Caenorhabditis elegans: one gene and its partner. The protein of the gene in region 2 purifies or fractionates together with the protein of the main gene of each other region. This does not show direct contact. Each region holds a gene or a part of one and is shown on either strand. Other genes may lie near its edges.

Evidence for each region.
Region 1: the proteins of snf-10 (region 2) and ccdc-55 fractionate together in Caenorhabditis elegans (co-fractionation; one large-scale study listed by BioGRID). This does not show direct contact.

Annotation. Positions count from the first base shown.
Region 1 is NC_003281.10:4,162,141-4,177,649, reverse strand, and holds ccdc-55 (Nuclear speckle splicing regulatory protein 1 homolog), read left to right. Parts: upstream 1-8,884; coding exon 8,885-8,995; intron 8,996-9,182; coding exon 9,183-9,332; intron 9,333-9,681; coding exon 9,682-10,599; 3' UTR 10,600-10,702; downstream 10,703-15,509. Other genes in the region: C16C10.13 (Rab3 GTPase-activating protein catalytic subunit), read right to left, coding at 84-392, 437-706, 751-867; Argonaute protein hrde-1, read left to right, coding at 1,497-1,605, 1,657-1,867, 1,913-2,866, 2,916-3,440, 3,488-4,436, 4,482-4,672, 4,722-4,881; C16C10.4 (putative histone deacetylase complex subunit SAP18), read right to left, coding at 5,585-5,722, 5,823-6,003, 6,129-6,310; E3 ubiquitin ligase rnf-121, read left to right, coding at 6,711-6,761, 6,834-7,013, 7,066-7,220, 7,264-7,400, 7,451-7,542, 7,601-7,752, 8,262-8,381, 8,441-8,561; E3 ubiquitin ligase rnf-5, read left to right, coding at 10,817-10,884, 11,486-11,732, 12,290-12,560, 12,986-13,107; C16C10.8 (LYAR-type C2HC zinc finger protein), read left to right, coding at 13,479-13,529, 14,051-14,118, 14,441-14,795, 15,320-15,509. UniProt on the Caenorhabditis elegans protein: Required for the cessation of distal tip cell migration at the end of larval morphogenesis.
Region 2 is NC_003283.11:10,431,451-10,447,773, forward strand, and holds snf-10 (Transporter), read right to left. Parts: upstream 9,374-16,323; 5' UTR 9,346-9,373; coding exon 9,211-9,345; intron 9,164-9,210; coding exon 8,793-9,163; intron 8,745-8,792; coding exon 8,474-8,744; intron 8,428-8,473; coding exon 8,126-8,427; intron 8,079-8,125; coding exon 7,847-8,078; intron 7,801-7,846; coding exon 7,705-7,800; intron 7,662-7,704; coding exon 7,402-7,661; intron 7,311-7,401; coding exon 7,052-7,310; intron 7,012-7,051; coding exon 6,916-7,011; 3' UTR 6,880-6,915; downstream 1-6,879. Other genes in the region: Y32F6A.4 (Amino acid transporter transmembrane domain-containing protein), read right to left, coding at 667-764, 811-904, 952-1,123, 1,498-1,587, 1,931-2,037, 2,083-2,135; set-22 (SET domain-containing protein), read left to right, coding at 5,566-5,686, 5,735-5,826, 5,872-5,961, 6,005-6,104, 6,154-6,321, 6,368-6,470, 6,513-6,726, 6,775-6,867 and 1 more; pap-1 (Poly(A) polymerase), read left to right, coding at 10,667-10,891, 11,197-12,085, 12,135-12,460, 13,086-13,613; Y32F6A.5 (Retinoid-inducible serine carboxypeptidase), read right to left, coding at 15,084-15,152.

The DNA of each region.
Region 1 (15,509 bases), on a different chromosome or scaffold from region 2:
TAATCCCATTTTATTCTGAATCTTCTTTTTTGTTAATTTTTGCTGTTGAGTTTACATTTTATGCGTTATTGAAATTGTTGACTTTATTGAAACATTGAATTTAAAGAGATCTCTGTCGTTGTCACTGGAAACGGGACCATCGTCTCTCTCGTCAAATCAATCGTCTTTAAAACAAGCGGAGTCAGTGAAGAGGTCTGAGTGAAGATGAGCACGGCACACATGTTGGAATCGCAGCAACAATCTTTTTGCTGATACAATATCTTGTGTTGCACTAGCATCGATCGCAGTTCGCATTTTGGCATCACTGACACAGGTTGTTGACACTTTTGAACATCTGGGAATGGATGAGACATGATGAAGACGGAATCGAATTGACTGAATTTTTCAGGGTCCTAAACAGATAACTGGATTTTCAGAATTTTGTTGAAAAGGATACCGTATCCTTGACACATCCACTGTATATTCTTCCTGGCACCAGTGCCACCACATCAGTCATATTCATAGAATGACATGGATAATTCTCTGGATCATTTAGAAATTTTACTGCATTTGATGATCGAGAAAATATTGATCCAGTATATGGAAGACTTGTCGTGTTCTGTTCCCTATACACTGCTAACAAACCACACAGAAAACGAGGAAATAAATCTGGAAGATCTAGAAACGAGTGGTGTTCTAGACAAGTCTTGACCAGTTCTGATAGGCTCTGAAACTCTTTTCTAGACTTGAAAAATGACTTATTAAGCTCACAATTTTATCTTCAAGTTCTCGAATTGTCCAATCGGGTTCATATTTCTTTTTATCTTCTAGATAATTTAGAAACTTAATTTCCGTCGCATTCGTCTTCACTTCAGCTAACGGATTCATCAAAATATGAGCAATTGATTCATTAAGGAATGGCTGGAGCAGCCTGTTTGGAATTATCGGCTTTTCGAGCAACGCCTTTTCCTTCAGAATTTTAGGCATATGTTTGAGATGAATTATGTCGCATTTTATTGAATTTGCCAGAAAAGAGACGAAAAAGCAGAAAACTTGAAAAACCAGCATCGTTTTGATTGTAGAAATGAATTAAATAATTAATATTTATTGAAGCATAACAAATTAATTTTTTAAAAATATTGTTTTCTATTATTTTATTTGAAATGTTCAGAATAGTCGTTAAGTTTTTGAAAACTAATAAAATTCGATTTCTAGACGTGAAATTTTTCGAAGAGATCACAATGCAAGCGCGCTCTATTGTTACAACGCATGTGGCGCCACGATTTGAACTTTTGTACCGCCACGGATGTGTTTTCTCGAATTTTCTGGCCTAAAATTTATTTATTTTCATTTCATTTCTCTCCTTGCGTTTTTTCTCATTTTACTTGAAAATCTCAATCAGGACGGTAAAGCTTTTGTTTCATTTACTTTTTCTTAGTAAATTTCACTGTTTTATCTCAATTACATCTGAAATTCGCATCGTTTTTTCGTTTCATCGTTTCTTATTTCAGTCAAACATGGCCGACTTGCTCGACAAAATTATGGGAAGTTCGTCTTCCAACAGGATTCCCAAACGAGACAACCGAATGAATCAGGACAAGGACGAACCGACGTCAAAGAGAAGTGGTTCGTTTAGAATCAACATTATGCCTAGGAGTTCAAAATTGTCTTTTTCAGCACCAATGTTCTCTACTCCGAAGTCAACAACACCAATTGGACGGGACTCTTTCGCAACGATGGACACGATGAATGTTCAGATGAACATGTTTCCAGTGGACATCAAGGATATGCCCCACAAGATCCAACGCTTTCAAGTTGACGTCATCGTCTGTTCCAGCAACGGAAAACAGATCAATGCCAACCTTGGAGTTTTGGCGGCCAAGGGAGAGTAAGTATTTAATTTGTATAACCGCTCAAAATCAGTACTTTCCAGTGTCAATTCCCATAACCGTCGCTTGGCACAATACTACATCATGAGAACAGTACATGACAAGCTTCTGGTGAAGTTCAGTGGAAAGAGTCACCACTTCCTTGCTTACGACTGCGCTGCGACTCTCTATCTTCCGGAGGGAGTCTACACTGGTGACGATCAAGAAGAAGTCACGTTGACGATCGATGACTTCCCGAAGGAAGAATGGAAATTCGTGTCGAAGTTGTCTCGCAGAAAGGACGATTCTTACCTTGTTGTTCTCAAACCTGCCGGATTTGTGTACACCCAAGGAGAAGTTGCCCAGGAGGAGGCTAATCGTATGGAGTTGACTCGTATTATCGAAATCGTCACTTCACAAAAGCTCAACAATGAGGATTACTTACAATTTGGTAATGCCACATTCCCACGTCTTTCTCCGCCACACTCGGAACCTGATGCTATTTCGGAGATCCGCTCAGGTTTTGCGAAAGTATCTCGTCTATCGCAAAACGGAGGTGGCAAAGCTTTCATGACGGTTGATACGAAGATTTCTCCATTTTACAAGGATACATCAGTTATCAAGTTTTCAAGCAACAAGTTATCCGAAATGAAAGGTGGAGGCGGTGGAAGAGGCGGATACGGAAGAAGTGACTCGCGAGACTCTCGTGGTGGATACCGTGGCGGCCGTTCCGACTCGAGAGACTTTCGTGGTGTCTATGGAAACCGAGGTGGCAACGACAGGTACCGAGATGAAAGCAGAGGACGTCGCGACATGTACGATTCCCGTCGAGACAGTGGTTCTTCAAATGGAGCGGACTACTCTCCGAGTGATGCTGCTGAGTTGGAACACGCTTTTGGCGAAAGAGGAAACACGAAGCGATGCATTGAAGAAGCACTCAAAGGATTGGACGTGGAATGCACTCACTTGAAGGGTAACCTTATTCGCGTATCCTCGATTGCCGAGAACAATGCTGAGAAGTAAGTTATTCGATAGTTATCATCAGCGTGATAACAATTTGTTTTGTAGCACTTCGTTCATGATGAAGGACGACAAGGGAGAACGCGAGGTCACCGTGGCGGAATATTTCCTGTTGCAGTACAACATCAAGCTGAAATATCCGAGACTTCCTCTCGTCGTCTCAAAAAGATTCAAACATGAATCTTTCTTCCCAATGGAGTTGCTTCGAATTGCTCCAGGCCAGCGGATCAAGGTCAACAAGATGAGCCCGACAGTACAATCGGCGATGACAGGAAGAAATGCGTCTATGCCACAGCATCATGTGAAGTTGGTTCAAGATATTCTCCGCGACAACTTGAAGCTTGAACAAAATAAGTACATGGATGCTTTCGGAATCAAACTGATGTCGACTGAGCCAATCCAAATGACTGCGAAGCTCCTCCCACCAGCTCAAATCAAGTTCAAGGGCCAGACTTACATGCCTGACATGAGCCGTCCAGCGTTCCGCACACAGGACAAGTTTGTCGAACCAGCACGGATCAGAAAAATTGGTATTGTTGTCTTTGACAACTGTATCCAAATGAGACAGGCCGAGTAAGTCGAACGTTGTTTTCTTCTGCTTTATAATATTCTATTTTCAGAGATTTCTGCGACAAGCTGTCCAATTTCTGTCGTGACAATGGAATCACGGTCGAAAAGGACTCGCGAGATTGGTCCATCCGTGAATTGAACTCCAGTGATTCCGTTGCTATCCAAAATCTGATGAAGAAATGGCTCGATGATAGAGTGGACATTCTTGTTGGAATAGCAAGGGAGAAGAAGCCGGATGTTCACGACATACTCAAATACTTTGAGGAATCGATTGGCCTGCAAACAATCCAATTGTGTCAACAGACTGTCGATAAAATGATGGGAGGTCAAGGTGGACGCCAAACGATTGACAACGTCATGAGAAAGTTCAACCTCAAGTGTGGTGGAACCAACTTCTTCGTCGAGATCCCGAATGCTGTGCGTGGAAAAGCAGTGTGCTCAAACAATGAAACATTGAGAAAGAAACTTCTCGAACATGTACAATTCATCGGATTCGAGATTTCTCATGGCGCATCACGCACTTTGTTCGATCGCAGTAGATCACAAATGGATGGTGAGCCATCAGTTGTTGGAGTCTCGTATTCCCTGACCAACTCGACGCAGCTCGGAGGCTTCACATACCTTCAAACCCAAAAGGAGTACAAACTTCAAAAACTTGATGAATTCTTCCCAAAGTGTGTCAGATCGTACAAGGAGCATTCGAAGACACTCCCAACAAGAATCGTCATCTATCGTGTTGGTGCTGGAGAAGGAAACTTCAATCGTGTTAAGGAAGAAGTCGAAGAGATGCGACGAACATTTGACAAGATTCAGCCCGGATACCGTCCACATCTCGTGGTGATCATCGCACAAAGAGCTTCACATGCTCGCGTTTTTCCATCATGTATCAGTGGCAACAGAGCGACGGATCAGAACATCCCATCTGGAACATGTGTCGAGAATGTCCTGACATCCTACGGATACGACGAGTTCATTTTGTCTTCACAGACGCCGCTTATTGTAAGTTGTTCATTAGTTAATTTATTAAATGAAAGTTTCTTTTAGGGTACCGTTCGTCCGTGCAAGTACACGATCCTTGTCAATGATGCCAAATGGTCTAAAAACGAGCTCATGCACTTGACGTACTTCCGCGCATTCGGTCATCAAGTGTCCTACCAGCCACCATCGGTTCCAGATGTTCTTTATGCGGCAGAAAATCTGGCTAAACGAGGACGCAACAATTACAAAATTCATCAGTAATAGTTTATTTTCCTAAAAATCTTTATCAAAAACAAATGTTTCCAGGCGTTACGTGAATTTGCAAGCAGTTGAGAACCGCATCATCAAAGACCATTCGGAACTCATCAACGAAGACATGCGAGAAGAACTGGCGGCAGCCATTGTTGATGAGATGTCCGTTGCAATGAACGGAATGACCATTCCGAAGCGAAACTTCTGGGCGTAATCCCGAGATTCTCTCTTTTATTGTCACGTATTCACCCCCTTTACATATTACCAACATTTTTTATCCACTACCCTATACCTACTCTCTATACAAGTACTTAAATTCCCATGCTTTTGTTTTTCTGAACATTCTTTATTACATTTTTCCCCATAATTGTATCGTATTCCCCTTTATGTTTTTATAATTTCAACTAAGAATCCTTTTGTAATTTAATCTAGAGTAGAGTACATTGACACATAGTTTGAATAGTAGATACTCCTGTTTTACCTGCCTTTTTTTCTGTGCGAATTTCCTCCAACTTTCTTATTAGGAGTTTTCGAAGGCGAAAGAAACTTCCAATTAGAACGTTTTTGGAAATTTCGATTTTCAATAATCTTACTTGCTCTACCCCCCGTCCATTATCATTTATTAAGCAATAAATTATTCGAGAAGAAATTTTAGTTTTCGCTGAAAGCAGTTTGATCGCGATCATTTTTCCGATTTTTGCATAATCACAAAACAAAACTTTTTTAAAATTAAATAGCTTGCAATTTTGACCAGTAAATGTGAAAGTAAACTTTGTTGTAAATTGTTAAGTATGTTGAACAATTGTAAAGGAAAACATGATTTACGCAGAATATTACATTGCACGTTATAAAAAAAAGAATCGACACATTAATAAATACAGAAGAGTATCATTGAATTTTAACACACAGTTAGGCGTCTAGCGAATCGGACTACGTTGGCGTTGACGATGATCGAAACGGTCTCCCTGCTCCCGGTTATTGAAACGACGTCCTTGACTTGGCAAGGAAATCGCGACGTCGACGAAATCACCGACTTCGAATTTGCATTGTTGTAGCTGAAAAACAAAGTTCAATCAAAACGAATTTAATATTGGAGATATTATTTCCGAATTCAAATAAAATTCTAATGGTTCCGTGGTGTCAAAAATCACATACAGTTTTGTTGTCATCAATGCCACGCTCTCCATTCGTCGTGTTTCCCACATCGCGTAGAATGTATCTTGGCGAGCCGCGGTCTGCCTGCACAATAGCGAAATCGAATGTGGTGCCCTTTCTTCTAGCGTCCGGATTCACTTCTTTGATTAGACTGGTCAATTCACGCAGAGAACAGTCCATCCTGAAAATAAAAAAAATACTTCAGGTTAACCAAACTTACAAGTTTGAATGTATTATTGAAAATATTAGACAAAAGTTCTATAATTTCGGCCAAATAGTACTAATTTTTCTATTTCTACCGCGTACCAAGTATGCATTTGAAGTTCGCTGGGTGGAACAGATCCTCCATTTCTACTATTGTACTCGCTCATCGGATTATGACGATTATTAGCAACGAAGACGCGAAGAAGCATCGGACATACTTTCTCACGATCTAATGGTTTATCGTGACCAACTGTCACCTGAGACACGAGTTGACCGTTGCTCATTTTTCTGAAAAAAAAAGATAAATTTGCTCTAAAAAGGGATAATATAAAATATATTTGTTTGGTTATACAGAAAAAAGAGAAAAAAGAAGCAAAACGCCAAAATTTGCATTCGAATGTTTGTGGGCGGAGCGTTCTTTGCAACCCTGGCACACAAGATTTGCAGATATGCCGCGCGCAGATGACATTCTCCTATTTTATTTCGATTTTCACCGCAAATCTTTCTCCGACATTTCCTTGTCGCAAAGTTAACCAACTCAACTATTTTTATCAATTATTGAATTTAAAGTGTTTTTTTCGTTCAATTTTTAAAATTGGTCACTTTCCACGCGGGAGTCCGCTTTACCTTCTCGAAAAATCAATAACGTTTTCCAAAATAATTTCTATTTTTTCAGGCCATAGAATGGGCCAACATGGGGCAATTAGGCTGCAGAATGAAGTTCAGGAAGGAATGGTAAGTATTTATTGATTTTAAAATAGTTTAATTAAAAGTAAAATGATTTCTATTATAAATTTTTATTTTCAGCCCCCTCCACACGAGCTAACAGAAGAAGAACAATGGGCAGAGGAGCACCGAAAAATGCACGAAAAGCATAAAGGACACGAAGCGATGCACATGGAAATGATGGTTATTTTCATGATTTCTGTCATCGTTGGACAGATTTTTCTGGTCACCTGGAAGAGGAAGCATTTTAAATCTTATCAGGTATTTAATTTTATTAATTTTAAACATTTATTTAATATTCAAACATTTACAGATGTGTACATTAATAGGAATGCTCACAATTCCAGTTTATGTTTGTTTCAACCGATCCTGGTATCGATTCCTGGCCACGTGGCTTGTTTTCTGCATTTTTTCAGCTTTTATTTGGTTGAAAGCCTCGGCTCAACATATCAGTGGAGGAACACCAAGGTTTTTAAGAATAAAAAAGACGAATTAAACGAAATAATTTAAGATTCGTCTACAAATGGTTTCTATTTTTGCATAAACTGAGTTATGTACTCGGAGTTGTTGGATATTTGATCATGATGGGAGCTTTATTAGGATTTCATGTTTTATTCGGAGTTTCACAGCCAACACTAATGGATGCCGGTGAGAAATTTTGGAAAAATTTTGAAAAAATCTAATTTTCAAGCTTCCAGGCATCCTTTTCATGTTCTATGGTGTGTATTACGGAGTGCTCGGCCGGGATTTTGCTCACATTTGCACGGCGAGAATGGCGTCGAGAATCGGGGTAAAATACATTTTTCACCTGCTGCCGAAAAATAATCAATATAATTCCAATTTTTCAGTATTACACTCCTGAAGGACTTCCTAAAAAGCATCTAGAAGACGGTGTCTGTGCTGTTTGTGGAGGACGTCTTGATGATTCGGAACATGTTCATGATGCAGATGCTGTGGTTACAACGAAAATGGTTGAAGATGAAGATGAAAAATTGTATAAGTGAGTGGAGAAGTTCAGCAGATTTTTGGAATTTTCACTTTTTTTAATTAAAAAAAAGAATTAATAAGTAGTTTTCCAGTTTTCTTCGAGAATCACCAGAAAGCACCAAATTTTTAAAAACTGATATTATGAAGCTTTTGAACGAATTTTCATCGATTTTTCCACAGTTTTTCGTGAAATTTTTTATTTGATAATTAAAAATTCAAATATACGAATAAAAGTTACACAGAAAAATAAAATCAAGACCTCCGAGAAATTTTTTTTTGCGTTGGCACGGTGCCAGGTCCGGAAAACGTAGATCCGGAATTCCACCAGATCTTGAATCCGTGGTGCCTCAATAAATAAAATTTGATTAACATTTTTTTGTTGAAAAATTGACGAAAATCCGGTGCACCAGAAATTTAAAATTTACAGTACTCTTTAAAGGCGCGCACCCTTTTGCATTTAACAAAGTAAATCGACACATGAGGCTAGAAAGCTCTTGTTAAACTTAAAATCAATAATTTCAGACTCTCATGTGGCCACGTTTTTCACGAATTCTGTATCAGAGGATGGGTAGTTGTTGGAAAACTTCAAACATGCCCGTATTGCAAAGAACGTGTCGATTTACAGAGAATGTTTAAAAATCCGTTAGTTTTTTGAAAAAATCAAATTTAATTATAAATTCTTTAAAAATTTTCAATTTCAGATGGGAGAAACCTCATTTATTCTATGGAAAATTGCTTGACTGGATCCGTTATCTCGTCTGCTGGCAGCCATTGATTGTAACAGCTGTTCAAGGACTCACCACATGGATGGGATTGGAATAGGAATCTTTTTATTTTAATTTTTACTTATTTATTTTTATTTAATAATTTCTAACTGCATCCCAAAGTTATCAAATAGTCACAAATACACACAAAAATTGTCATTCCAATTGCATTTTTATTCTCGTTTTTTCATTTTTTCTCGTTACTTCTTTTTTGCCGGGCACCGGGTGATTTTTCTGATTTCTTTGAAAAAAAAATTACGACTTTATTTATTCTTCCTGTTTAATTTTTATTTCCAATTCCCGTTCACAGCGGTGTTTTATATCTGAAACTGTATCCTTTGGATTCTTTTAATTGGAAAAATAAAATAAAAAAGTTTTTAGATGGCATCAAAACGGCATGTAGGATTAAATATTCGGAAAAAAGATGAACCGAAAGCTGCTCCAATTCGAGTTTCCAGTGTTTTTGGAGACGATGATGATGATGATAATGTGGTAAAATTCAGAGAAGTTTGAAAAATTTAGTGTAGGAGAAAAAGTTTTCAAACAACAAAGAAATGACCGAAAATTATCAAAAATAATTTTTTCCTACTAGCAATTTTAAACATTTTTAGTTTTTGACTATTTTTCGATTTAGAAAAGCTTTTATAAATTTCTGAATTATAAATTTCTTACTTTTCAGCCAGCCACAGCTACCAATATGGCATCAGCTTCAGTTATTCGTGTGCAAAAAGCAGCAGAACGAGAACATCAAAAGGCAGAAGCCGAGGATCCGACGATTTTCGATTATGACGGGAATTACGATGAAATTCAGGCGATTAAGAATGAAAAAGTGAGGGCTCGAAAAGTTGAAAATCGAAAAAAAAAATACTAAAAATAAAACGAAAAAGTGTAGATTTTAAAACCATTAACAAAGAATTTTCGATAAGAAAATATGAAAAAAAAATTTTCAACAAATAAAACAATTTATATAATAAGTTTCCACTAACAATTTTGATATTTTTTTAAATCTAAAAAATGGACAAGAATAAACGAACATTTTCGATTTTTCGGGTTTTTAGAGAATCGAAAATTTTTCGTTAAAAAAGAAAAAAAAACACATCTTTAACCAAAAATGGTTTGTTTCAGAAGTTTCAGTATTTTTAGGCTGAAAAATTCAACTAACAGCTTTGTTTTTGCAGAAAGAAGAAGCTCGAAAAGCGGACAAAAATCGTGAATCGAAATACGCGGAGAACATCATTAAAGCCCATGCTCGTCGCCAACTCGAACAATTTTCTCGTGAAGAACGCCAACAACTCAGAGAACGAGAGAAAGAAGGCGATGAATTTGATGATAAAGAAGTTTTTGTAACTGGAGCATACCGTAAGCAACAGGAAGAAGTGAAGAAACATCGGGAACAAGAAGCTGAAGAAGCTGCTTTTAATGATATGACAAGTGTTCAGAAACAGAAATTATGGGAAATTGGTATGGGAAGGACGCTTTTAAACGATTTGGCAAGAGATCCTACAGCTATTAAACAGAGGAAGAAAGAGCAGAAAAATGTGAGAAAACGGGAAGATTCTGATGAAGAAATTGATCCGAAACCGGAAAAATCGGATAAGAAACCAGCCGAAAAGCTTAAAAAATCAATTTATTCCGATGATTCTGACGAGGAAAAAGCACCAAAACCTCCACAAAAAAATTTCGAAGGAGATCTTAAACCTGGCCTGAATACGGTATCAAAAAAAAAAGCAACGACTCACGCAGAGAGAATCCGTCAGCGAAACTACACTCCAACACCTCCATCTTCAGATGATGAAGGTGCAAGAGCTCCACGAGCTCGGAGAAGGACTTCAAGCCCGTCACCAACTTCAAGGAAGTCCATAGAATCGAGAGAATCAGGGAGTAGAAGATCGCCTGAAGGGAAATCTGAAAAATCTGAAAAAGCGCCGAAAATCTCGCTTAAAGATAAGCTGAAGCCGAAGAAAATCGATAAAGAAGCAAGATTAGACGGACTCAAAGAAATTCTGAAGCAGCGGAATACAGAAGAAGATATTGAGGCAGCGAGGCAAAGATATTTCGAGAGAAAGGAGCAAGGAATTGTTGTACCTCCATTGTAAAATTTAATTTTTATTTATTTTTTCTTTGTTTGTTTTTTTCAATTGCTGGTTAAAATTCCAATCTCCCAATTTTCCAATTCCAGACCTAATGAAATATCCAATTTCAATTTCCAATGTTCATTTTTTAAAAACTTCTATGGTTATCTCTACCATTTTTATATATTTTAATACGTGATTTCAGAGAGAATTAAATAAGGAATTTCAGAGTTCGGAGCCAATGGCGTCGGAGACGAAAGCTCCATCCGAGGAGCCCACGAGCTCCAGTAATAAAGATGAATCTGCGAGGTAAATTTAGAAAAAAATCGATGTTTTAATCGTTAGACATAACAAATGACCGGAAATTAAAAAAACGAATTTTTATTGATTAATTTTTTTTGAGAAATCTAAAATTACATATTTTCTGTTTTTTTTTTTTAATTATTTTTCCGAATAATTTCTCTATTTTTGCTGTAAATTTTCAAAAAACGGCAGTTTATCTAAATACTTTTACGACACTTTAAAACATCCGAAAAACTACGAATTAACCAGAAATGTTTTGATTTTAATGAGAACAGATTCAAAGATAACCGAAAATTATTTTTAAAAAAGGAGTTTTCCGGAAAATCAACAAGAAACCGAAATACGAGAAAAAAAATCCGACAGAAAATATTACAGTTATTTTCAAAAATTTCAAAAAAAGTAGGAAAAACGAAAATGGCCTAAGTTTTGAATTTACAAGCAGTATGTCTTCAAAAAAAAGTTATCAAAACTAATAATTTTCCCGAAAAATTGACAAAAAAATCGAAGAATTTTAAAAACTGACTCTTTTCAAATTTTTCGTATTTTCACCGTTTCTAAAAATACAAGTTTCCAGAATTTCCAAAATTTAATAATCGTAATTTTGCAGATTTGAATGTAATATTTGTTTGGACGCAGCAAAAGATGCAGTCGTTTCCCTATGTGGACATCTTTTTTGTTGGCCATGTCTGAGTCAATGGCTTGATACTCGTCCAAATAATCAAGTTTGTCCAGTGTGTAAAAGTGCAATTGATGGGAATAAAGTTGTACCGATCTATGGAAGAGGTGGCGATTCATCGGATCCACGTAAAAAAGTTCCACCACGTCCAAAAGGACAACGAAGTGAACCACCACCGGTATGCACTACTCATGCACTGATTAACACTTCTGAACTACTTAAAAAAAGACATTATGCTATTTTTTTCAATTTTCTCATCATCATCATCAAATTTTACTTTTTTTTAAATGAAAAAAAGAAGAAAAATTTCACATGATTATAACAAAAAGACCGGTTTTATTGGAAAGTGTTTTCTATAATTTTAACCGAATTTTTCTTAAATGTTCGGCAAATATAGTTTTATCGGAAATTAATGTCTCTTTCAAACACATAATTTCTTTTTTAAATAAATAATAAAAAGAGAAAAAAGAAAACAATTGCTAAAGGAAATTTTTAAGCCAAAAACACGATAAAAAGCCAAGTGTTTTTAAACATAAATTTTTCAAAAAAAAAAAAAAAATTTTCGAACTTTTTAGAAAGCTGACAAAATGTTTGCTTTTTGCACAATTTTTCTTTAAGAAAAAATAACCAATTTATAATTTATTAAAAAATCTAAATAAATACCAAAATAATCCCAAAAAGCGCATAACACACACACACCCAAAAACTAACAAAATCTCGAAAACCCTCTTTCAGCAATCATTTGCCGGTTTCAATTGGGGTGGCGATGGCGGAATGATGGGCGGCGGCGGACCAAATGTGCATTTTTCATTTGGAATTGGTACGGTGAATGGTCTGTTCCCGTTGATGTTCATGCTACCTTTCATTCAAGGCATCTTCCCATTGTCATTTGTTGCTTCATTCTTTGGAAATGGTAATCAAGGAGCAGCAGCAGCTGGTGGTGGAAATGGTGGAGGAAATGACGGAAATGATGGTACACATGCACATACTCATGGACATACACATGGTAATTAGAGTTTTAGGGAAAATTCCAGATTTTTCGATTATTTTTGAAGAAAAATCAGAAAAATCCAAGAAAAAAGTTTTTTTTCTATTAAAGAATTAAAAAAAAAGAACTTATTTAAATTTGTTTTTTTGATTTTTACATTTTTTAAATAGGAAAATTCTAAAATTCTGAAAAAATTTACTAAAAAAATACGAGGAAACTGTAAAAAATAAAAAATTTAATAATTAAAAAAACTAGAATTTCTGAAAAATTCTGAAATTTTGCCAGATTTGATAACATTAGAAAAAAAAACTTTGTTAGAAAAATTTCAGAAAATAAAAACAAACAAAAAATGTATAAACATTTGGAAAACTCTAACTCTATAATTTTAACCAGAAAAGCAAAAATTTTCGATTTTTCTCTGAAAAAAAACCGAAAATTTTCAGGACCCCGTGGACACGGAGAATCAGCTGCACCGGGATCAAGAATGGCTCAAGAAGAGGAATATTTGTCGAATATTTTCAAATATATTGGATTTTTTATGCTTTTCTGGCTTCTATTCGTCTAAAAATCCCATTTTTTCTGCTTTTTTTACTAAAAAAATCCGACATTCCTCATATTCTTTTCACCTGTATTTTCTAACAATTTGTATAATTATTAGTTTTTTTCCGCATCCGATCCAGAAAATATTCCATTTTTTGTATTATAAAAACAAAAAAAATTTCCCTAATATAATATTTTATTAATCCTTTCTTTTCTCTCAATCTGTGTTACTTTTCCTCGTCGATTCTATCCACATTTCCTGGTTTTTTCTCGTATAAAACGATTAGTTTCCCACTTTTTTCTGGATTTTTTGAGCAAAATGTTGGTTTTCAAAACCACTTTTGAATATCTGAATTCTTTTGTATAGATTTTAATTTTAGATTTTTGAATTTCCAGATGGTTTTCTTCTCGTGCAACAACTGCGGTGAAGCTTGCAAGAAAAATCAGGTAAATTCGTTTTTTTTTTTGAAAAAATTAGCAAAAAGTTTAATTAAAAAATAAGTAATTAGTTTAAAAAATTTCCTTTTCAAAAAAAAATCTATAAATTTAGATTTCCCAATTTTTCGAAAAATCGTTAAAAAAATGTTCTGAAGTTTTCTTTTTTTTCCGAAAAAATTTCCAAATTTTGAAATTGTAAATAAAGGAAACAGAAAAATTATTATTTTTTCGAGTTTTCCAAAAACTTGAAAAATCAAAGAAAAATTGCAAGCGAATTCCAATAATTCTTGAATATTTTTTTCAAAAAAATAAATCGGAAAACCCATAATTTTGTTCAATAATTTCAAAAAAAAAAGTTTTTAATTCAGCTGAGACACTACGAATAAGTGAATAATTGACTATATAAATGTCAAATACATTAGCGAAAATAGTCAAAAATAAATGCATTTTGTCAAAAAATGCACACTTATCCTCATGGAGTAAATACACGATCTGCGTAAATCGACACATCCATGCAAAGTTTTTTTCAGGTCGAACGTCATCTCTTCCAATGCCGTAATACTACTTTCAGCTGTATTGATTGTCAACTTGTCTACACGTAAGCTTCTGGCGTTAAAACATATTTCAGAAAAATAATTAAAAATTAAATTTCAGATTAATCTTGATGATTTTCAGAAAAAACCTTTAAAATTTTTTTTTTTTTTTGATTTTTTTCAGAAAAAAAATTGTAGGTTTCTAGATATTTTTCCTAGAAAATCGGAATTTTTTAAATAGATTTTTCGTAATTTTTTTGGAGAAAATCGAAGAAAAACAACGAAAAACTAATTTTTATTAATTTTTTCCATTTTTCGTTTTTTAATTGAAAAATCTATGCCATTGTCTGGCACTAAATTTTAAAAATTAATTAATTTTTTTTTCAGCCGTGAAACATACAAAGATCATGTAAAATGCATCACTGAAAATCAGAAATACGGAGGAAAAAACTACGTTGAAAAAGAGAATAAAGGAGAAGCGAAACAAAATGCGTGGGTTGATCAAGTGAATCGTGCCATCGAATTTGTCACCGATTCACAAGTGAAAGAACTGCTGAAAAGTGTTGCTGGATTTGCGAATATTCCAAGAAAAGAGGCGAAATTCATCAATTTCCTGACCAACTCGTGTCGGCTCCGTGATAAGAATCTTGCTCTGAGAGCTTGGCAAGCAATTGCCGCAGAAGCTGATAAAATGAGAGAGGAAGCGATTCGAAAGCAGGAGGAGACGCAGAAAATGGAAAAGGTAGATTTTACGCTCAAATTTCCTAATTTGTGTCGATCTACGGAGCTCGTGTACTCCCCGTGGAGGATACGATGATCTTTTAGAAACTGTTTTGACCATTTTCACCAATTTTTTGGTATTTAAAATTTAAATCGTTGTTTTTATTGTAGAAAATTCGATAATTCTGAAGAAAACATTCAAATGGATTTTTTTGAAAAATTGTTTTTTTTGTAAAGAATATTTTTTATTTTAAAAAATCTGGAAAGGACCACAAAGTATCGAACAAAATTAAATATTTTCCGAAAAAAACAATTTTAGTAAAAAAAAATGTTTTGAGAAATTGGAATTTCCAACAAAAAACGACTTTAAAAATTTATTTACGAATAATTCAAAAAAAAAAAATTAAAAATCAAGAAATGGAAGAAAAGCTAAAAATTGGTCCAAAATAGAGTATTTTAGCCAAAAAAAAAACCTGTTCAAAAGTACAATGAACTCACACAATTTCACCGGGAGAGCCACATTTCTCATGAAACACCATTTTCCAGGCTCAAAAAGAAGCCGCCGCAGCAGCAAAGAAGGAAACAACTGTTGCAACGACAGCAGCAGAAGTCACAGATGCTCCAGAATCTACATTCAAATGGAAGAAGGTTATCAAGCGGAAGTTGAAGGAAAATGGAGGAGAAATGAAGATTAAGAAGTTGAAAAAAGCCATTATTGAAGAGCTCTCCGCAGCCG
Region 2 (16,323 bases):
TTTTTTCGTTGTCACAGTTTTGAGCTGGAAATATTCTTAAAGGCGACTGATATGGCTGGTATTGATAGGCTTGTCATTGCTAACAGTTTTCTATATAACTACAAAATAAAATTTGAGAAAGAATCAAAATTGAGAAAAAACGACAAAACTTATTCCTTGACCTAATATTTGTTAAAGATACATTTTTTAATTTTTTAGGTTATTCAATCAAAGGGCATGGGACAAGTGGCATTCGGCAAAATGCCGAAAATATTATTTTGCCGCCAACCCCTGATTGAATCGGTATTTAATTCTAAGGGGTAACCCCCGAGCATCCCCCATTTAGAATAGGTTCTCATAGTTTTTCCAACCGTTTTCTATTCGTCTTTGATAAAGTTCCTTACACCGAAAAACTAGTTAATCATTCAAGTAATGTTCTATTTACTTGTGCACACTTCTGCAATTTTATGACCCATCATTAAAATTAAAAATTAGTCTATTTAACCACATTCCAATTTAGTGCACGTATTCTATACTTCTCTGTGCCTCTTTTCATTGTTCATTAAAAAATAAGATTATTAAAAATTAAGTTGAGCTTAAAAAGTGACGAAACAATATGATGAAACCTTTAAAGGATTACGACTAATCAGCTTATATGATCTTTTTGAAAATTGATAATATAATTACCAGAAATCTTGAGGCGATTTGAGGAAACAAAGTGGCAGAAGACATGTTGCAACAATGAGAATCAGAATGCAGAAAGATATGTGAGTGCCGGAGAATGCCTGAAAATTGGCTTCACATTATAGCACAAAATATAGATCTACTTACAATGATCATGTTCATAATGTTTTTCGAAGCCAAAAGGAGGTAGACAACGGAGATCATAAATTGTGTTACATCAATGCAAATTGAAACAAGAAGTCTGAAATATTACAACAAATCTAACATCATTTACAAAATAAAACATACTGGCAAGTCTTTCCCATAGCTCTTCCACCAATTTCTGGATACGGTTTTCTGCAATGATGTCTATATTCTGGCCATGTGCTCAACAGAATATTCCAACTGAGCCCAAGAACGTAAGCAGTATAGGTGACAACTCCAATGAGAATGACACATACTATCAGACCGGTCCAGAATTCTGAAATTAAGAATTTGAAGTCAAATTGACATTCCCATACGTTGTAATGATAAAATTAGATTTTTTCAATACATGTTTTCTTGTATTCCATGAAATTTTAGGTGACCTTTTTTGTTTAAGCCGCGTTCTTATAAAGACTTTAACATTTTTATTTGTCCTTTTTTCTGTTCACTGATAAGAAACTCGCAACGTGATCAGAGTTTTCAAAGGAGCCGGAACCGTTATTGACAGCATATGCCTATCGCTAGTGATGCTTCGTTTTTTATTAAGAAAAGAGATTACATCGTTTATTTCATTTGACGATTTTATGTTTGTGTGTTTAAGATAGTGAAAATGGTGAGAAGAAAGAAAACCTCTAAAATAAAAAGCCTTACCTGCTTGAATAATGGCAGTTGGCAATGCAACAATACCTCCACCAGCAAGATCTCCAACCACGAATAGACCAGTTACAAACCAGTTTAAACCTGAAAAGTATGATTTAGAGCAATTTGTTCAATTTAAAACTATTTTATAACCTGCCGAACAGTGAGAGCAAATCTTATTAAAATGTTTAGATTTAAAATTTTATAAAGCAAATTCCATTGTACTGATAGACTCTAAAGTTTAAGATTAATTAACTTATTGGAAAACTACGAAATTGACAAAAAAAAGCGTTTATTGCTAACTGTAGTACAAGAAGTTGGGAAATATTGAAAATTGATCTTTTCTTGACTTTAAATTCTTCTGTTAGTCTTGTAACCCCAATGCTCCACTTTGAAAACCCTTTTTTTCACACACTTTTCAGTAATTAATTTGAAATGAACTAACCAGCTGGATTAAAGAAAGGCTTTGACATATCAACATCACAGTGAGAAGATGATCGAGTTTCACCATTCCAGCTGTCTCTGCGGGAACATGATGAAGTTCTTGTAGATCTATAAATGTATACATTTATATTTTCATTGATACATCGAACTTACTTCCTACAAGAATCTTCAAAAGCGTAATTCTCTCTAGACAAGGAAAAAGACATCCTGATTGGCCAAATTAACCTGAAAATTCAATATAAATTGATGAATCAGAATAGGTAAATATTGTCTTTAAAGTCTATAAAACATGTGAGAAAATGTGGTTTATTGTTATCTATTGTGAGCTCTGGTCTCAACAACAAAACAACAAAACTACTGAAGGTAGTGGGTGTGTATTTGAAATAAAATGTGTGTGAATAAAGATACCATTCAACTTCAAAAAAAGTAGAATGGGGTACACTTCTTTTTATCTTGTTCCATTCTTCTTGCTTTTTTCACATTTTTCTCTAGTTACAAGTCGTGAGAGGGGGAGAAATGAAAATTTGCAACTGAAAGTGATAAAGATAGTTCGTCAATCAGGCTTTTATTCTGATGTCTTATCAGTTGGAGCTTTCGTTGGTCAGACGAAAAATTCCATGTCTTCACTTTTTTCATGGCTTACCGAAGCGACGTAGTGGGTGCATGAGAAAATTGAAAAACGGGTTAAAAATGAAAATAAGAAAGAAATAAAGAGAAATAAGGGATTTAGTGTAAGTGTATCTTTTTTGTCTGGTTCACGTAAAAATATGTGAACCCTTTACGAGAGGTCCTTCGGGTGAAAAAGAGATGCTCAATGAGGAAAGAAATTAGAGTCATGACGATTCTCAGTTTTATAAGAATCTCTTCTTTTCAGTGACATCATTGAGAGCTTGCAATAAATAAATTTAATTATTTACTGAACACAGTTCTCAACGACATATTTTTTTCGAAACAAAAATTTGCAATGATTGCTCACTGTTTCGAAACGTTATGTTACATCTACTCTAGTTTTGATAAAATTTTTAAAGACTCCCGTCAATCGGAATCGGTTTCTTTTTTATTTGGAAAATGTTTTCAATTTAAAAAATCCTAAAAATTATTATTTCAATCACAGAGTTTTAAATTAAATATCTATTTAATTCTGAAACGATGAGAAATGAACGATATTTTCAGTAGTATTTCCGAAATGTTCTAAATTTGAGTGATCACAATTTTTTCAAAATGAGTTCGGCAATCAAAATGAGTTCGGCAAAAGAATTCTCCGGAATAAAATTGCAAATTGTTTAAAAAAAGTAAGGATTTATTTTTAGCAGGAATTTTTTAAAGTCATAAATTGGCAACAGACTCAAAAAAAAATTAATTAAAACTATTCTCAATTATGAGTCATGACAATGATGTAAAAACAAATGAAGATTCAACCAACATCTCATTAAGATAAGAGTTTAATCAATCATCATGAAACATTTTGGTCTCTGTAATAGTTAGAAATCATGAGATGTCATTTAAAAACAACACAAAGTAAAATGACCTTGTTACGTAATATGGTTATGAACTTTAAAATTAAATGTCAGAAACTACCAGAAAAATTGTATCTCTTGTTTGATATTAAAAAAGGAAAAATATGTTTAAAATATGTTATTTGATAGCTAACCTTGTTTATTGGAATTTCATCGTAGAAACTTTTTATTGAATTAAAATGAATCGTCATAAATTATTTTTGTTGATAGTCATAGATCCAATAGAACGTTTGTATTGAATTTATTGACCTATTTGTTTAGTCTACAAGGCATTAAGAATAGTATGATTCCAATACCACACGAAGCATTTAAGAAAAGATCTCTCGCAACACAACTGGAACAAAACTTGGTTAGAAATTATGGTGGTGTCTTACTAATTGATGGTATTACCTTTTGGAAGTTTAGAAGGAAAAATGGTTAAAAAGTGAAAGACTCTGACAAAAATGCCTAACCAATTCCACGTATAATCCGTTATCAGTAAACCTGCAACGTCAGTACAGAGTGTGTTGTAACTCAATGCTTCTGTGCTGGGTAGTTCGAAGTTTATTAATTTAAATTGTCATCAAGAAAATAGAGAGAATCTGATTATCAATGTAATTCTTATAAAATTCGTGGAGAAAGGGCGTCATTAATTCGTTTCTGATGACTGAAACAGGAACATTGATATTTTCTAGATGACTATATTCAAATGGAAATGTGATGCTCTTTGCGTGTTTCTCAACTCCTTTCCAACAATGTCTCTTGAGAATTCAAAAATCTTAGTGAACAAAAAATGATGGATACGTTTTCGAGTACGAGTGTTTTAAATGTGGAAAACCTGAAAACCTGAAAATATCCAAAAGATAACTTTCAAAGAAAAATGATTTCGACACAATAGTATATTGTACAAGTTGGGCAAACTATTATGATGACATCTATAATATGAATGGGTGGGAAAGTTTTGAACGAAAACACTTTCTAAAAACATGATCATCGATGCACAGAACTGTTAAGAATATGGTTTGATAAAAATTAAAATATAATAAAGTGTTCAGTTGTTTCCGGTTTTCCATGGTATTTTCAAGAACGTACTAACAGCAAATATTGGACAAAAATGGATAAGTTGCAAACGATAAGACCTTGGAAAATGAGTTTTCCCACACTGCGCAGATAAATTTTAAAAGTGTATTAATACATTTTCAGTACCGCTCATCAAATCGGTCAAAAAAAACGAATGAGGTAGTCAAATGTAATAAGTGCAAATTGATTTTGAAAAGTGCACTAGGTCGATGTCAAACCAGTTATTGTGGAAAGTTCCCATTGGAAAAATGATTTACGGGAACACTAAATTCTGAAAATGCGTATTGCATTGCGCAACATATTTGACGAGCAAAAATATCTCGTAGCGAAAACTACAGTAACTATTTAAATGACTACTGTAGCGCTGGTGTCGATTTACGGAAATCATTTATTGATCGATAACACACAAATAACAAACAATACAAAAAACTAACGAAAATTAAATTTCGCTGCCACAATTCGAACATAAATTAGTTTCAATAATCGAGCCCGTAAATGGACACTAGCGTTACATTAGTCATTTAAAGAATTACTGTCGTTTTCGCTACGACATACTTTGCGCGTCAAATATGTTCAGTATTACGCATTCTCAGAATTTAGTGTTTCCCTAATAATGCCTGGCCAGTTGACTGACAACATTACACAGCAATATGTAGACTCGGAACTTGTAGCATCGTGACAAGACCTATCAAAATTATTGTATGCACCATTAAGATAATTCTACAGTACCCTGAAAGCAATGAATCAATGTTTCGGCTTAATATGTTTTGTTTCCTTGGTGAATTTTAAATAGCCATAAACTCAAAAAAATAATATTAATAGATTATGGACTAATGGATTAATGAAATGGACACATTCAATATATAGTATTCCATTTCTTTTTATTTCTGCCGGGTTACGGTATACAATTCTGTGCAGTTTTGCGTCACAGTGTTTGAACATCTTTGAAATTAAATATTTTTCGGATTTGTTTTCAGCTGTTTTTCATTTGTTAATCTGCAGATTTAAATCGATTTAATTTTATTTTGTGAAAAATTTAAATGACAGGAATACTTCTGTAATGGAGAACAGGATCAAACGGCCAAAACTGGATCCGTCCATGGACGAAGCGGAATCTCCTGTCCGAGATGGTTCTCAACAAAATAACGATAATCTGAATCAAGAAAATGAAAATAATGAGAGTAAGATATTTAAATACTTTTAAAACTTTTTACTACCGTTCCTTTCAGGCTTTTCTGACTCACTCGTTCTGACAACAATTCATCTGCTCACTGAAGAAGATTTTAATGAAAACACATTAAAAGCTGTTGTAGTGGATAATGTGAGAAAAAATTTGTTCGTTGTTTATTAAACCCCTATATTACAGAATCGACTCGAAGAAATGTGTATCACGAAAGTTTCGCATAAAATTAGACGGCTGCTGCGACACTTCCAAGATTCTGGTTCAGCTAAAAAAGTGTTTAATTTTCGTTTTCCTGCCTACAAGCCTTCGTTTACAGATTATCACTTTGGCGAACCAGAAATGCAAAGAACGCCCGTGTACACAGGTTATGATTCTTCCACTCAACCTTCATTGCTTCCCAAACACGCTTAAAAAAGGTACATCAATTCTAAATGTGCGACACTTCCGAATAAAATAATTTTACAGGTCTTTTTGCCACTCGTGACATTCTTGAAGGCGAGTTTATCATTGCTCCAGTCCCAGTGAAGCTTTCGTCTCCTGAAGAATGCGGCCGAGATGAGATGGGAGTCCTTCGTCCAAATATTATACTGTTTAATGGGCTACAAAATGACTTTTCGTTCTTCCAAGTTATCGGTAATTGAATTGTATATAATTAATTAAAAGAATACGATATTTTCAGATATAAAATCCAGAAAAAGAAAGAGAAATACTCGGGAATTTCAATCGAGAAGAAAGATTCGCGCCAATGAGGCAATGAATGGCGTCAACAAGCCCGTCTATCAGTTGAGGATATATTTATAGAAGTTAATAGTTTTAGGTTTCAGGCCGCATGCTTCATATTATTCAGACGATGAAGATATTCAAAAGAATACCGCATATGAAAAGTATGATATGTGCATCGATTTAGCTGATTCAACTGATGAACTGAAAGCTATTCGACGAAACTGTGAATCCAACTGCATGATTCGATACGTGATTCATAATCAAAGAATGCAATTATTTATATCTGCTCAGAGAAATATCCTAATGGGGGAAGAGGTGAGACCCTTCTTTGATTAAAAAATATATTATAAGACTCTGTTTCAGCTTACACTTCCACATGACTACGATTCGAATTACTCTAGCAAGGTCATTCAATGCGCTCATCCTTATCAACCACACAATGTTTGCATTCACGAGGTTAGTCAGAGAAAAAATATTTTTTTATAAAAGTAGAATAATTCATTATCAATATCTAACTCTGAGCTGTCTTTCAAATTTCACAGCATTTCGTCTGTCTTCCGGATTCATTGGTCCCCAGTCACCAGTTGCTCTTATCATCACCTAAATTATTCCATAAGTAGTTTTTAAGATATATTCTTACCACAAAAGGTTCCATATTTTTTCTTCGATCATACTCATCTCTCAAAAAGTATAAAATCACAAAGATGCATGGCATGACGAGAAGAGAATATCCTATTGGATCAGACACAATAGAATTTTCATTAAATGCTTTTTTTTGGCCGAATGTTGCAACGATACATCCAAAAGTTACAATGAGTAGAATAGGACTGATTACAAGCCAGTTAAGCCACCAGAAGACGTTAGGAGGTCCGTGTCCCCCAATCATTGCTCTTATGTTTCTGAAATAATTTTTTGGACTAAAAACTTTTTGTTTCAAATTATTGTGAATAGGTAAACTCTCTAAAAAAGATTCACATTTTTCGAACTTACACGGAAAATCTCTTGAATCCATACACATAAGATACCGTTATTACTTCAACAAAAGCAATAAATATAGTGCCATATGAAGCAAATGTTTCGATACTACTCATTAGATTAATTCCTCCGTTACCCAAAAATGGTAAACTAGAAATAAGACCTGTGACACTCATAATTGCTAAAATGATAGCTCTCTTATGCCAACTCGCAAGAGCTTTTCCATATTTTCGCCGACTTCCGTTTAATCTTTCCACAATCATAGAACTTATAACCTAAACTTAGATATTGTGGACGTTTTTGTGGCTTCATTTCTACCCAAATATAACTAGAAATTCCCTGGATTGAGCATGCTGCAAGTGTTAGCCAGAATAGAAACACCCAAATGCTTCCCATTGAAGAATTTGTTAATATCTAAATAACTTTTCTGATTATTATAGATTGAACTATTTTAATATACCTCGGAGATTACACTTTCAATCATTACCGGTGTAGCGTATAGTTGAATTCTTTCACTAGCTTCCAAGTCTGGGTAATATAATCTTCCTATTTCAGCCATGAACATGAACGAAAGTAATCCAGTGCATATGTAAAATACAAAAGAAACAATGCTAATAAGTAGAACATCTCGATGTATTTTGTTGTGAAAGTTGTTCAATGAGGCAAATTTCTGGATTCCGCCACATCCAACACTAGAAACAAATACTTTATTTTTCTGAAATTCATGATTCACACCTACTTCAATGCTCTAAGTGCATGTGCTGCAGCATCTGCCCATGACCACACCCACATCCATTTATCCTCGTAACCTTCACTTTGATAAAAGAATGCAGTAAATACGTTTGTAGTATCATTCAAAGACATTCCATACGAAAGAAGCATTATAGTTCCCACCAATAAAAGTGTAAGAGCTACGATACCGGTTCTACCAAGAACTTTTGATCCTCCAATGGAAATTATACCAATAATTATCCATAGACAAACTGCACATATAATAGATGTAACACTTGGCGGCTCCCAATCATTCATTGTTATGCTTCTCTGAAAGTTGCTTCGAAATGAATATCATACAGTCAAGTTATACAACCTTGTACATCAACCCATGAACAAAGCTCATAAATGGAGATTTTCTCTGTTGAAAACCACGGGTGGCAATTAACATTTCTTGATATTCATCACATTCTTTATCCGATCCCGGTTGAATCCATGTACATTTCGACGATAGCTTGTAATTGACACAGTAATCCCCAGATTGACTTTCCTGGCAGCTCTCCCATGGAGATGTTGACCAGATTGATTGGGAAGCATGTGTAAAAATAGTAAGATCGTAAATTGCCCAGACAGATAGACTGATTGTTCTGAATTGAGGATTTTGAAAAAATGAGAAGTTAGGTTCAGATAAATACCTGAAAACCATTATGAAGCACATTCCTGCAGATAATCCTGCCATGGCGGGAGCCATTCTTGAGAAAACTGATAGTGGAGAAGCAGAAGCATATTGTCCAAGAGCTGTTTCAAGATAAAGAAGTGGAACAGCGATGAATACATAACAAAATGTGAATTGATATGGAAACCATCCACCGTAATATCCACAGAGATACGGGAAAAACCAAATATTTCCAGAACATGTAACGAACGAAAGTGTGGCAGTGATAGCTTCCCATTTTGAAGTCCACGTGGGTCCTTCCATTTTTGTATCCAACCCAATATTCTCCAGAGCTAGATTTGTCACGCTTTTGAATCCAATGTTAGAGATGGCAGTAGCATTTGAAGTTTTCTGTAGAAAACAAAAAGATTTTTGATCAGAAAATGTATATATTTTACCTTTATTGGTATTATTTCCTCTGTAGTAGTGCTTCTATTATCATCATTTACTGTTTCGTTTGATGCTGATCTTGTAGTTTCTTCAGATTTTGTTCTAGTTTGTTTTAATTGTTTGAAATCTGAAGACGACGCCATTCACTGTTTTTATAAAACCAAAATAAACTCGTATCGAAATTGAAATTCAATTGCTCTAGTTTCTAAAAATTCACGTTTTCTAAATATTACTAAATATGATTTCAGAAGGAACGTCAAAACACTATCAAGAAGTTCATATCAATGAATTCCAAGTGACTGTTCTCAAATGTAATTTTATAATTTTTTATCACTAATTATTCTCATCTTTCAGACTCTGAAAGTATCTTCTGTTCTCGGAGTCAAATCGTATCTATAATTATCATGTTAATACAATCAGTTTGTTTCATATAATAATTGTTTTTAAAAACACAGTTTTCCACAGTACATCTTCAATAAAATCATAATATCATAATATCATTCTATTTATAATTTTGTTCATACTCTTTTTTATAAAGTTAATTTCATTGCTTCATTTGTAGACGCCCAAGACAATTTATTTAAATCTTCATCGTGGTTACGGTACCGTATACGGTTTTCAAGTTTTATGGCCGCGGCCTAGAATCCGACAACCGTGTACTCCTCCTAGACAATTGCAGAATATAATTTTATTGCTTAATTTTTATGGAATTTGGTTCTAGAACTATAATTACTTGATTCCTAATTCAAAATTTAAATTGAAAACTCCCATATAAGTGCATTGATTCTTGTGTATTGTTTTAATCAAAATTTTGAACACGTGATGCAAAAAGGGTATTCTTGGAACGTTTTCTACTTTTTTCTCATTGGAGAAATTTTCATTGTCTCTAACGAGCGTTTTGCATTTTCTCTATCCTCTTTCCATTCACTTTCATTTCTGAAAAAGGCTTCCATCTCGATGTCTTGACGACGAATTCGTCATGTGTGAGGCTGACTGCACCATCGATTGAAAGAGACCTTCCCTGTCGTTCTCTCGTTCCCCTAACTGTCTGATATCTCATGCTCATCTGTACTCTCTCGTCGCTCGGCATTCGTCTGTTTCTCTTTTTCTTTTCCTTCTATACCTCGTGGACCCTTTCAATATTTGGTGGTAAAAACGTGATAAAACTCACTGCTCTCTGAAATTATTTTTCATTCCCACGGATCTCGTTCATATCGAATAATTTTTCTATTTTTCATTTCTTCTCAGTTTTGCCTTCATTTTTCGTTGTTTTTCGAATTTCGAAATTTTAAAAATCTTTTCGTCTAAAAGGTTTTTTTTATTTTCAGCGCGATTTTATCGTGTTCAAATCGTTAGTAAGGATAATAAAGGAGGAATCCGAAATTTGGGTAATTGCATGTCTTGGTAAATATTTCAAATTGTACAGCAAACTCTTCAACATTAAGACTTTTCAGAATAATAACAATGTCGGCGACCGAAAAGGACAAAACTCCACTTTTGGGTGTTTCTCAACCCATTTCGCTAGCCCATCCAGATTCAAAAGACATTGCACAGACGACTTTATTGATAGAAACATTGAAAAAGTTTGGAAGCTATGAACCAAAAGAAGAAACAGAACAAAGAATGGAAGTACTTCGTAATTTGAATCGTCTAGTCAAAGAATGGGTTAAGAATGTAACTGCCATGAAGGTTCGTTTTTTGTTGAAATATTTAAATTTTAAAAGTATGATCTGAAATAGGTTTTTGTTTATACAATATTTATGAAAATCATCCAACGACTGGATATAATAATTGAAAATAATTAATGTTGGCTCATTGACAAAACTCAGTTTTCTAGAAGAAATTTCAAAAATACTTTTATTTTTACTGTTTAGTTGTGGAAAATTTTTAAAAATTAAATTTGACATTAAATTCGTTGTTTAATTGAAATACGTGTTGATAAAGGAATATATATTAACAAATTTCTAATTTTAAACTAAAACCTCAATTTTCAGATCCCGAATGGAGAGGGTGTGAATGCGGGTGGAAAACTTTTTACTTTTGGATCATATCGTCTTGGAGTTCACAGTTCTGGTGCTGATATTGACACACTTGCTGTTGTACCACGTCATATCGATCGATCAGACTTTTTCACATCATTCAAAGAGATGCTCAATAACGATCCAAATGTGACAGAATTGCATGGTGTTGAAGAAGCTTTCGTTCCAGTTATGAAACTTAAATATTCTGGTGTTGAGCTTGATATTCTCTTTGCTCGACTTGCTTTGAAAGAAGTACCTGATACCCAAGAGCTTTCTGATGACAACCTTCTCAGGAATTTGGACCAAGAAAGTGTTAGATCACTAAATGGATGCAGAGTCGCTGAGCAACTGTTGAAACTGGTTCCACGTCAAAAAGAATTCTGTGTAACTCTACGAGCCATCAAACTATGGGCAAAAAATCACGGAATTTATTCCAATTCGATGGGATTTTTTGGAGGCATCACATGGGCGATTCTCGTTGCTCGAGCTTGTCAGTTATATCCAAATGCAAGTCCATCAAGACTTGTTCATAGAATGTTCTTCATTTTCTCAACGTGGACTTGGCCTCATCCAGTAGTACTAAATGAAATGAACAACGACAGAAACGATATTCCGACACTGTGCGAGTTGGTTTGGGATCCTCGACGAAAAAATACAGATAGATTCCACGTAATGCCAATTATTACTCCAGCATTCCCAGAACAGAATTCGACTCATAATGTGACTCGATCCACCGCCACTGTTATAAAGAACGAAATATGCGAAGCCCTTGAAATTTGTCGAGATATCAGTGAAGGAAAATCGAAATGGACTGCTTTATTTGAAGAAGTCAACTTTTTCAGCAGATATAAGCATTTTATTGGTAAGTTTTCATTTTTATCACATTTCAAAATGAATTTGTGTATTTTCAGCTCTTATCATGGCTGCTCCTAACGAGGAAGAAGAATTAAACTACGGTGGTTTCCTTGAATCACGTATCCGTCTTCTTGTGCAAAGCCTTGAACGTAATCAAGATATTATAATAGCCCACAACGACCCGAATAAGCATAAACCATCTCCAAATGCAAAGTTTGATGTAAATCCAGAAAACAAGAGGGTTACTGTATGGTTTATTGGTCTTGAATTCGCGGAACATGCTAAAACTCTTGATTTGACAAATGAAATTCAACGATTCAAAACAAATGTCGAACTACAAGCGAGTAATGTGAAGGGTATTGGACCAAATTGTCAAGTGCAGGTGAGTGTTTTGTTCTGAAATATTAAAGATTAATAGAAATATCGACATTTCTGTATTACAACCAGAAATGCCGTGCAATTTCATAAGAAATAGTGAAAAAAGTTCATTAAAAAGTAATTTAAAAATATGGAAACATTTTTGCTTTATCTGAAATAACCCTTATTTTATTTTAAAACAACTGAAAAAGTGTTCAAAAATTTCCTGTAAGATGAAGTAACTATATTTATTATTAAAAAAAAAATTTATTATTGAAACTATCGAAACATCTAACATTTTCGTTTTTCGTTGAGAAAATTTTTTTCTATATGGCCAATTCTCAATATCTCATATCAAAATCAACTTTTTTTTTTTGATAAATCTATAGCTTTCTTGTTTTTTCCGTGCATGTCCACTTTTCTTCTTGGCTTTACGATATTCGATTTTCGACAAATTAAAAATTAACGAAAATTTCGATTTTCTCTGAAAACTTGCGTTTTCATTTAAAAAAAAATGCTATTTTTCAAAATGTCGTGCTAAAATTAAACATGAATATTGAAATATCATTTCGAAAAAAACATATTTCTCAAAAAAATTAGCTTTCAGATTTTCAACAAAAAATTTTGCAATAATTATTTAATAATTTCAGATTGATATGTTCTATGTAAAGAGAAACAGTCTGATTCAAGTGATTAGTGCTGCTGATCTTCGCCGTGGCCGTCGCTGGAAGAAAGTTGTTCCAATTGCTACGAATACTTCCGTCAGCAGTTCTACACCCCGAAGTGTTGTGCGAACTACAAGTACTAGCTCTGTACCAACTACTCCAACTGGACTTGCTGCTCCAAAAACACCACTATCTGCATCAGTTTCTGCCACGAATGAACCTGATTCAACAACAAATGGTACTCCATTATCAAGAAAACGTAGTATGGATGAAGAATCATCAACTACTGTAACTTCACAAATTTCTGATGAATCTGTACCAAAAAAGAAAACACGTGATGATACATTAGAAGAGAATAGAGTTTCAATGGTTGTTGAAGTTTCGAATGTTGTGGTTGAACAAAGAACAAAAGTTGTTCAAGAAATAGTTGATTTGCAAGCTGATAATGGATTGAATACATCAAATGGTTTGGAAGCCAGTGAACAGAAAATGGAGGTTCCACAAAGTGTTTAATAATGGGTACGTTATGATTCTCAATTAAAAGAAATTTAAAAAATTGGTAATCGGAATCAGAGGTGGACTGTAATCGAAAAGTTCTGAAATTTCCGTGTTTTAAGTTTTCCACAAGGCAATTTCCGCAGTTGGAGAACCTCAACATGTTGGTTAATTCTTAAAAATAATTTTGGAAAAATAAACTAGAAATGAGCGAAAAAGCAATTTCAACTGCATTGATAAAATTTTGATCTCACTAACAGTATTCAAAGTTTAAAGTTTAAAAAAGTAAACATTGAGGAAATTGTTAAGAACAACTCCCATGGTACCTAAAACCCAAATTTCAAAAAAACAACCAAAAATTAAGTTTGCAAAAAAAGTTGGAAAATTCAAATATTGTAAAAACAGCTGGATAAAGCTACACGAGCCGAGATTTTTCAGTAAATTTCAAAGATCGCTATTTTGAAATCAGCTTCCATAATTATCCATACATCGATTTACAAAGACGTTTTAAAATTATACCATCTTTTCAGGTGTCTACTGTCTTCAAACCAAAAGTTTTACACACTTTTTCACGCGGTTCTTTTATTCTCTCACATTTGTAATATATCATTGATAATAGTTATCAGATCGCTTCACTTTAGAGAATTTATCACCATTTATTTGTTCGTTTTCTCTTCGTATTTGCATAAGATAATCATCCAAGTACCAATATGCATTTCTTTTGGTTTTTAACTTTGTCTTCCTCAGTATATGTTTTCTTTATTGAAACTATATGATCCTCCATTTCATTATTTTCTTGTTTTTTCTTCATCAAGTATATGCCTTCTACTTCACTTTTTTTGTCTTATGTTTCCTTCTGTTTTTTTCATGAAAAAATTTATTTATATGAGCCAAATTGGCAGCTTCATTGTTTTTTCTTTGACTTCACATACCATCGCTCTTCTCGGAATCATTTAATCTACTTGTATTTACTATTTTGCTTCTCTGTTACTATCTATCTCTGAGTTTTCAGAGAATTACATTTGCTTTGTATAAAAAAAAGCCAAAAACTCTGAAAAAATCAAGAAAAAAAATCGGAGGAATCGCACTCGTTTCTTCCCCCAAAAAAGGCACGCATTCCAATTTTCTTTCCTCTTTTTCCTCATTTTTTACCACATTTTCTTCCTTCTCGATTTGTCGTTTTATCCACGATAAGTCATTCATCCTTTTTTTCCCTTTCTCCAACAGTCTCATAAACTTCTCCCTTCATTCATACATCAGTCCACGATGTCTTCTCATCCCCGTCCAAACTTACCTTTTCATTTAATTTTAATCATCTCTCAATTGTTTACTGTTTTCGGTTCAGAAAGTTTGCAATCATTTTTGTGCACGCTCATGTTTTGTGAACGGATAATAATGGTTAATAAAAAGAGAAGACGTCCAGCTTACATTGGTTGAAATCATACAGAGAAAAATAATACATTTATAAATAAAGAAAATGAGAAAGTTCTATGCATTATACTGCTTGACCACGGCCTTCAACATGAAGATTGCAGATTCTGGGGTATCATATGCAACCTGAAATTAATATTATTCCAATAATGTTTTCCAGAGTCACTATAATTGGTGAACGGCCAGAGTCACTATAATTGGTGAACGGCCAGAGTCACTATATTTGGTGAACGGCCAGAGTCACTATAATTGGTGAACGGCCAGAGTCACTATAATTGGTGAACGGCCAGAGTCACTATAATTGGTGAACGGCCAGAGTCACTATAATTGGTGAACGGCCAGAGTCACTATATTTGGTGAACGGCCAGAGTCACTATATTTGGTGAACGGCCAGAGTCACTATATTTGGTGAACGGCCAGAGTCACTATAATTGGTGAACGGCCAGAGTCACTATATTTGGTGAACGGCCAGAGTCACTATAATTGGTGAACGGCCAGAGTCACTATAATTGGTGAACGGCCAGAGTCACTATATTTGGTGAACGGCCAGAGTCAGAGAAGTTCGAGAAAAGTCAAAACTCAGAGATCCACTAATACTGTACGCGATCGTACTCTTTGCCCCGTGACTCACTCGCAATCCTCACATTATTAATGTTGTTTTGTTATCTTTTGCACCATTCAATTATAATTGCATTCCTATCCCCCGTCATTTTTACTTATCTTATTGATTCTCCGCCTACTTCATATTGTATATAAGCCATCACCTATCTGATGGCTCTATCCTTTTCATTTAATATCAATAAATGATACAAACCCCAGCCAGCTCTGAACTCGATTAAATACACATAAAAAAGAAAAAACTTGGATGGGCTGGACACGTGGCGAGACGAACGGATAAACTCTGATGAACGATTGGTGCCCCCGAGACGATCAACGACCCGTTGGACGCCCACCGATGAGATGGAATGACTCTTTAAGAAAAGAAGTCACTACGCGAGACGCCTTCGGACAAGTCAAACAACTTTGGTCCACCCAAGCAAAGGACCGAAAAGCTTGGAAAGCTGCGATCCGCGCCGCAGGCGAAGAACGGATCGACTAAGTATCCTAAGTAAGTAATTATTTTCACGTTCAAATAAACGTATCAAATAAAAATAATATTAATAAAATATTTAATCAATTTTTTAAACTAATATATACTCGACGTGAACATCACATCATTATGAAGTCGATGCGTAAATGAACTGTTGTATTTTAGTCATTTCTTGATTATATCGTCCACAACAACATCTACTCTGTC